2 linked regions of the Canis lupus familiaris genome follow. The protein of the gene in region 1 interacts with the protein of each later gene in a biochemical or structural test. Links are inferred from orthologs where the notes say so. Each region holds a gene or a part of one and is shown in the gene's direction. Other genes may lie near its edges.

Region 1 (3,559 bases):
GAATCTGAAACCAAGGTGTCAGCAGGGCTGTGCTCTCGCCACCAGCTCTAGGGGAGGACCTGTGCCCTGTCTCTTACCTTCGGGTGTTCCCACGTCACTCCCGTCCCTGCCACCATCCCAAGGTCCCTTCCCTGTGTGTCTGCGTCTGTATCTTTTTATATCCCTTTTGTATCTCCCTCTTTTTATACAGACACCAGCCAGTCACTTGGTTAGGCCCACCCTCAGCCAGGACGACCTCATCTTACCTGGATTATATCCACAAAAGATCCTATTTCCAAATAAGTTTACATTCACAGGGACTGAGACTTAGGATGGGGACCTGCCTTTTTGGGGGATACTTCATTTCCTAATATTCATTTCCATTAATGTTTATGAGACAAGGACCACATCTTTTTCATCACTGCAGCCCAAACATTTAGCTCAGTATATGATGGTTATTAAGTGCTCCATAAATAATGAATGGGTGGCCAGGTGGATGGATGGGTGGCTGAGTTGGTGGTTGGGTGTGTGAGTGGATGGTTGGGTGGGTGGATGGATGGTTGGGCTGTTGGGTGGGTGGTTGGCTGGGGGTGGGTGGATAGATGATTGGACAGCTGGGTGAGTGGGTAGTTGGGCAGGTGGATGGATGGTTGGGGGGCTGGGTGGGTGGGCGGGCAGATGGATGGGTGATTGGGTGGGTAGGTGGAAAGATGTGCAGCTGACTGGGTGGAGGGTTAGCTGGGTGGACAGGTCAGTGACTGGATCAGTAGCTGGATTGGTAGGTAGGTGGCTCAGCAGATAAATGGGCAAGTGGGTGCTGTTGCTGGTAAATGTCAGTGAACAGATTGGTGCTGGTTGGGTGGATGGATGGATGGATGGATGGATGATATTAGAGGAAAGCATGAGTAAACCCACATTTTCTATAGATATGTAATGAAGGGGGGAGTGAAGTAGGGTGGACATACCCTCAAACCTAACTTGTAACTTGAGAGCAAAATGGGTGTGTTGCCATTCTGGAAGGAAATGCGGTATTTTCCCGTACATGTGTGAAAGCTGGGAGAAGGTCATATGGCTCACAGAATACGCCATTCCCACTTCACACTTTGTAACTGGGGCTGCTTGCAGAAGAAAAGCCAAATTAAAATACCCTGAATAAGCAATTCTCTAATGCAAGAGGCCTCTTGTGGAATCTGGAAACTCAAGGATTCTAAATGCCCCATTTCTTTAGGGCATGAATTGCAAAAAGATGTGGGAAGTTCCATTTTTATCGAGAACACTGAAAATACCTTTGATCAAACCACTGCTCCCAACACGCTTAGCTTGTGCACCAGTGGAGTTGGAGGGATTCGATGTCCCACAGAGGCGCCTGCAGCCCTGGCCCCTCCACGCCCAGCAGCAGCAGCGGCGGCGCCCAGGGGTGACTGCTGTGTCTGCTTGGGCCTCCTCAGCAGGAAGCTGGGGTACGCTTTATCTAGGGCACCAGGTGTCGAGTAACTGAGGCAGCCCCTGGGGTTCCCCGAGACAAGACCTGCAAGTAGGACGCTCAGTCCAGGTTGGGTCCCACCACGAGTGATCTGGGGCTACCAGGTAGCTTGACGGCCCCGGGCGCGCATGCATTCTGTGGGTTTGGTAGGACACAAGCAGGTCCCCAGCCCTGGAAGAAAGCCGCATTGTCCCTCACTCTGCTTTGCACGGCCCGTGTTCATATCTCACTGTTGTTTGCAGGGGAGGCAGATGTGGAGCAGAACAATGGGACCCCCTCTCAGGACACAGCGGTGACAGACTCCAAGCGCACAGCAGACCCAAAGAATGCCTGGCAGGACGCCAACCCAGCTGACCCAGGGGGCCGCCCCCACTTGATCCGCCTCTTTTCCCGAGATGCCCCGGGGAGGGAGGACAACACCTTCAAAGACAGGCCCTCGGAGTCAGACGAGCTCCAGACCATCCAAGAGGACAGCGCAGCCACTCCCGAGGGCCTGGATGTGATGGCGTCACAGAAAAGACCCTCCCAGAGGCACGGATCCAAGTACCTGGCCTCAGCAAGCGCCATGGATCACGCCAGGCATGGCTTCCTCCCGAGGCACAGAGACACGGGCATCCTTGACTCCCTCGGGCGCTTCTTTGGCGGTGACAGGGGTGTGCCCAAGCGGGGCTCAGGCAAGGTGAGCTCTGAGGAGTAACTAGGGGCGCACACCACGTGTGTCCACTTTAGTTGACAAGGAAAAGGAAGGAGAGTGAGCAGGTGAGCTAAGCCCCAGCGGGGATGCTGTCCCGCTACTGTCTGTCCTCGCTGGCGACGCTCACGGGCCACAGGCGCGGGCGGGGGGCGGGGGGCCGGGTTGCTGCTTTGCCGCATTTCCACACAGCTCAGCCTCTCTCCCCTCCTCACAGGGGATGCCGGGACATCCTGAATTCCGCATCCGTAGGGGGGCCCGGCACGGGCACCGCGTTCTCGGGTCACCGGCATCTCACGCTTGGGGGCTTGGGGGCTGATTCGCTTCTGCGCCCGCGCTTTTGGGTTCGACGTCGCATTGTGCTCACTTTTCTTGGTGTCAGCGCTGCTAGCTTCGCGTTGTCTTGTAGCTTCGCGTTGTCTCGGAACAATCATGCGATTGAGGACTTTTGAACAAACTCAAGATTGAAATTCGCCTTGAGCAGATATGTCTTTTATCTGAGTTATTGAGGGGCAAGGGGTGGAGGGATCCTTGAGAGTGCCTATGAATCAAAACTGTATTACTTTGTTATTCCATTAATTTGAATAGAGAATCTGTGAGCTCTCATTATGTAATTATGTAAATGTTCTGTAGATAAAAATTGTATTGCAAGGGAAAAAGCTCCCATTGTTCCCGAGTTTCCAGCAGTGGCTCCCGGAGTCGGTGTGAATGGGGCATCTGTGGTGACATCCCATCAGGGAGCTGAGTCCCGAGTGGCTTTGCCGTAGCAAGCACATAGAGTGCTGTATGCCTTTTCCGGGTGTTGCCTGGCTGGGTCATTGTGGAAGCAGAGGGTCTTTTGGGGAAAGCCCGGGTTTATTGGCTGTGCTCACAAAACACCTAAGTTGTCACTTTTCCTCTGGCTGCGTGCGTATCATGCTGACTCTGAAAGTCTTGGGAATGTAAAGAGGCTTCTGACCTGTGGTTTCTAAAGGGGTCTCTAAAACTTGCTCAGTCTCTAACTACAGAATTTAGAATTACTGCTGATTGTGAAATCGTTGAGCGATTTGTGTTTAAACAAAGGCAGTTTTGCCACGTTGGAATTAGGGGACATGGCGGCACAGGAGCTGGGGATGTCGCAGGTGCTGGTCGTGAGGTCCCCAGCATCTGCCCCCAGGTGCCATCACTCACATGTCACTGGTCATGCCTTCTCGTGACTAACATTTGGCGCGTCTTAAGTGCTGACAGCGTTCACCTTCTGCTTGGTCCTTTCAGTGTCTGTGTTTGTAGACATTTGCTTTTCCTTTTGGGCAGTCTTGTGTCACCCCAAAATGTTGGGCATCTGACCTATTTCCAATGTTGATTTCAGTCCGAGGTGCTTTTTCAGAGCACGGCTATCAAGCCACACCAGACCCTGGCTGCCTGTT
Region 2 (4,210 bases), on another chromosome or scaffold:
GATGCCCAATCCCTGGTGTGTCTTACGTGTGTAGGTGTGTAGAAAGCCACACTGCATCTATAAATTTTAGCAAATGCTGTAATTTGCTTTGGGATTTTCTAGCAGGGGACTCAGCGGCGGCATGGGGACGAATTGGAACTTTCTAGAAACCATACCCCCTAACACAAGATGAACACTGGATAGTTTCCCTAAACAAGTGCATTACTTACAATTTTCTATTTAGATCGTCCGTTTACTTTTTTTGTTTTTTTTTTTTTAAGAGCTGCTCTACTGCACAGAGTGCACAACACCGGCAAGGATGGTCTTTTTTTGGAAAACATTCATCAACTTTTACTTTCACCCACCCTCGCCCCCAACTTATTTTTTGAGCTCTTTTATGCAGTAATCACTCCCAATTCTACACACGCGGAGACGCACGGAGGTCTTTTTTTTTTTTTTTTTTTTTTTCTGCACAGTACGGAGGGGCAAGAGACACCAGCAAGCAAGCAACTCTTTTAACTTTCCAGTTCCGTTTCGAGAAATGATCGGCTAGAAGTCCTGAGAACGGCAGCCCGGCGAGGCAGACGCGCTTCTCCCCAGGCGGGGTGTGGGTCGGGAGCAAGGCGCGCTTCCGCGGGAGGGAGGGGGGCGGGCCGGGCGCGGGGCTGGGGCTGGGGCGGGGGCGGGGGGGAGTCAGGTGGCTCCGGAGCGGGAGCCCGAGCGGAGCGACGCGGCGGGGGCGCGTGCGGGGTGCGCCTCCCTCCGGCCGGCGCGAGGAGGCCGCCCCCGCGCTCGCCAGTCCGCCGGCCCCGCGCTGCGATCGGCGGGGGCGCCAGGGGCGCCGGGCGCCCGCGTCTCCTCCCTCCCTCCCTCCGGCCGGGCGCGCGGGCTCCCTCCCCCCCCCCCCCCCCCACCCCTGGCAGGTCCCTCCCCCCTGCCTGCTCCCGCGGCCGCCGCCGCCGCCGCCGCCGCTACCGGAGGCGCAGGAGCCTCGCGATAGTGTTTGCACAGGCGGCGCGTGACGCCGCCGCCGCCTGTAACTGATGCAGAGGTTACCCCGCCGCCTCAGCCGCCTCAGCCGCCACCCACCGCCCGCCGCCGCCGCCGCCGCCGCCCAGGCGACGCCGGGGGCCGACGCACTGCAGAGGTGCCGGCAGGTTCCGCTCGCGGAAGTGCCCTCGGCCGGCGCTGCCCGCGCTCCGCCCGCACCCGGCGGGCGCCCCCTCGACGCCTCCGCCGCCGCGCTCCTTCCCCCCGCCTCCTCCCCGGCGCGCCCGCCTGCTCCCTCGCTTCTCCCCCTTTTCCTCCTCCCCTCACCTCTTCCCTCCCCACCTCCCCCCCTCCTCGGCTTCCTCCCCCATCCCCTTGACTCTCCCCTCCCTGCCCTCCCTCGCTCCGTCGCTCGCCCTCAGCGCGCGGCCCCCGCCATGACGGAGGCGGGTGCCGGGGCCGTTGCCGCCGCCGCCGCCGCCGCCGTCGCACGGGGGGAGTCGGGTTCCCAGAAAGTAGCTTGATGAGTGTCCAAAGTAGCAGTGGAAGTTTGGAGGGGCCGCCATCTTGGTCCCAGCTCTCCACGTCTCCAACCCCGGGCTCGGCGGCGGCGGCCAGGTCCCTGCTGAATCACACGCCGCCATCCGGGAGGCCCAGGGAAGGTAAGCGCCGTCGCGCCCGCCCGCGGGCCTCCGCTCCCCCCCGGTCTCTCTCCCCGACCCCAGGGTGGGGGATGGTGGCGAGGTGGACGCGAGGCCGCCCGGCTGCGGGGGGCGGTTCGCGGGCGGCGGCGGCGGCGGCCGAGGGGGTGCGCGCCGGAGGGCGCGGGGCGCGGCGCGGCGCGCAGACTCGCACGGGGCTCGGAGCAGCCTGGCTGCTAGGGTGGGAAGCGCCCCCCCGCTCCCCCCGGACGCCAGCCCCTTTCTGCTCCATTTGCTAGTGCACTCAGCGCTCTTAACCTCCTGGCCTCCGCTCTCCGGTGGGTTTTCCCTCCCGGTGAAGCCTTCATCCCTGAGCCCCCTCCCCTTCCCCCGCGCACTCCTCCCCTAGAGGCGGTCCCCGCTCGGCGAGCCTCGCAGCCCGGGACCCGGAGGAGGATGCCCTCGCTGGCACGGCCCCTGCCCCTGGGGCGGGGGGGGCGGGGGGAGTCGCTTACATTGTCAAAGCCCGACTTGGATCCCCTGCCTGGCCCCTTAGAGCAGTTTAAACGACAGGCTGGACTCGTGGGCAGGCTTTTAAAACCACCCCCTCCAGATGGCTGCAACTTTCTCTTCCTTCGCCATCACCTCCCGCGCGTCTGTGCGTCCTCTCTCCCTCCCCCCCCCCCCTCTCTCTCTCTCTCTCTCTCTCTCTCTCTCGCAGGGTCGTGGGGTCTTGCGGGAAACAACCGGGGTAAAGGTGAATGCAAACACGCACCGGATCGGTTAGCAATTGTTTTCTAAGTTTTCTGGTTTCTTGCATGCAAAGGGTGCTGCCGCCAGATGTAGCAGTTACACAGCCATAGTAAGACACAGGAGTGCTTTTGACTTACATTTTTTAACTTGCTGTATTTAACTTTAAGTGTACGACATAAGGTGAAATCTGGGAGAACGCGCGTTTATGGGGGAAGAATGTAACGCGCGTGGAATCGGCGTTTGACGCCCCTTTTGTCTGGGAAAACGTTTAGCGGTATTCATCAGCAATTGGTAAATGGGTTGTTCTGTGCACTCCCAGTTGTGTCACACAGGGAGACTGAAGCCACATTTTCAAAAAAAAAAACGTCTGGAAGTCCAGTAGTCTGGTGAATCCTTCAAAGAAACCAGGAGCTTTAATTTATGTAGGAATCGGTGGGGTTAATTTATTTTGAAGATCTCTGTCAATATTTACTATCTGGCCTTGACAATTGTTAATCAAGTGTTTTGTGCCCTGAATCTAGTGGTTCAGGCATAGCATTCTTTGTCATTTTGTTCCTGTGAGCATGTGTGAAAGTGACAATAGGCTCAAAGATTGGCATGAATTTGCTCCAGAAAATTCATGGAAAGATTTGATTTATGGCATCCATTAGACAAGCAGAATGTATTAACAGACCCCTTTCCCTCTCACCCCCAACACCGAGTTCTGATTATCACAAGATAAAAGTTTATTTTTTGACTAATTCAAATTTAGTGCATCTGGCGATTTTTCTTTTTGCACTTGAAAATTTGTAAATGAATGTTTCAAAATCTATTTTGTAGACAGAGCAGTTGGTGCTTTTAGCATACTTCTACTTTTGTAGTTTCATTAAGATGCTTAATGGTAGTGTTATCAGTGAGAGTGCAATGAGTTATAGTAAATGATGGCCATGGGAAAGACTGCCTTTTAAAAGGCTTTACCTTTTTTTCATTCATTCATTTCTCAAATATTTATTGAGCCATTTCTGTGAGCCAGGGGCTGTACTAGATACTGAGAGGACATAGTGTTGAATTGTTCATCTGTAACATCAGTTATCAGTAATTTGGGGACTGCAAAATTAGATTGTGAGTTTCTGAGATTACTTCAACTCTAGTTAAAAAAAAAAAAAAAACAAAACAAAAAACAAACTTCTATACTATTCTGTACTTTTCCTGATGTTTGAAAATTCTGAGGGGTTGGAATAATTTAGCTTGAACTTCTGAATAACCAGAATTCTTTCTAGAAGTTTGGGTTACAGTAGGCTTTTTATAAAGTAAATTAGTGAATCTTTTGTTAATGAAAAAACAAGACATGCTTTTGTGATCGTTATATTTCACCAAGTACCTCTATGGCCACAGTGGTGTATTTCTTTTTGACCAACCAGCATGTAAGTTAAAACTGTGTTAATCTTCTCAAGGGTTATATATATTTATCTTGAAGCTACAGTCTCATATCATTAGTGCTAACAGGAATTGCATATATGAAACCCTAGATATACGATGAAGACATTTTCTATTGAGTGAGATCCCAGTTTTCATTTTAACAAGTGTTTAGCATCTTTTGCAGGTGTACGTGTTAGTATATTGTATAAATTGATGTACGTTGAGAGAGCTTTGGACTTACAGTGACTGTAAGAATAATAATAATAATAATAATATTAGTAGAACTTGAATATATGTATCAAGGTGAGAACAAACTTTGTTTCTGAAGAATTGAACCAATTTAATGTAATATATAATAGAAAAATTTGGACTTAAAAGATATATATGTGTACATGTATTTTTAAGGTTATGTGATGAAGTGCTCTTAAGCAAACTTTAACTTTGAAAAT

What was found.
Region 2: the proteins of MBP (region 1) and TLK1 form a complex in vitro, tested with the Homo sapiens proteins (2 studies listed by BioGRID, with this or other methods). The link is inferred for Canis lupus familiaris from reciprocal best matches to the Homo sapiens genes MBP and TLK1.

What each region holds. Positions count from the first base shown.
Region 1 is NC_049222.1:2,890,268-2,893,826, forward strand, and holds part of MBP (myelin basic protein), read left to right. Parts: intron 1-1,704; coding exon 1,705-2,141; intron 2,142-3,559. UniProt on the Homo sapiens protein: The classic group of MBP isoforms (isoform 4-isoform 14) are with PLP the most abundant protein components of the myelin membrane in the CNS. They have a role in both its formation and stabilization.
Region 2 is NC_049257.1:15,984,114-15,988,323, reverse strand, and holds the start of TLK1 (serine/threonine-protein kinase tousled-like 1), read left to right. Parts: upstream 1-1,378; 5' UTR 1,379-1,492; coding exon 1,493-1,631; intron 1,632-1,909; coding exon 1,910-1,948; intron 1,949-4,210. UniProt on the Homo sapiens protein: Rapidly and transiently inhibited by phosphorylation following the generation of DNA double-stranded breaks during S-phase. This is cell cycle checkpoint and ATM-pathway dependent and appears to regulate processes involved in chromatin assembly.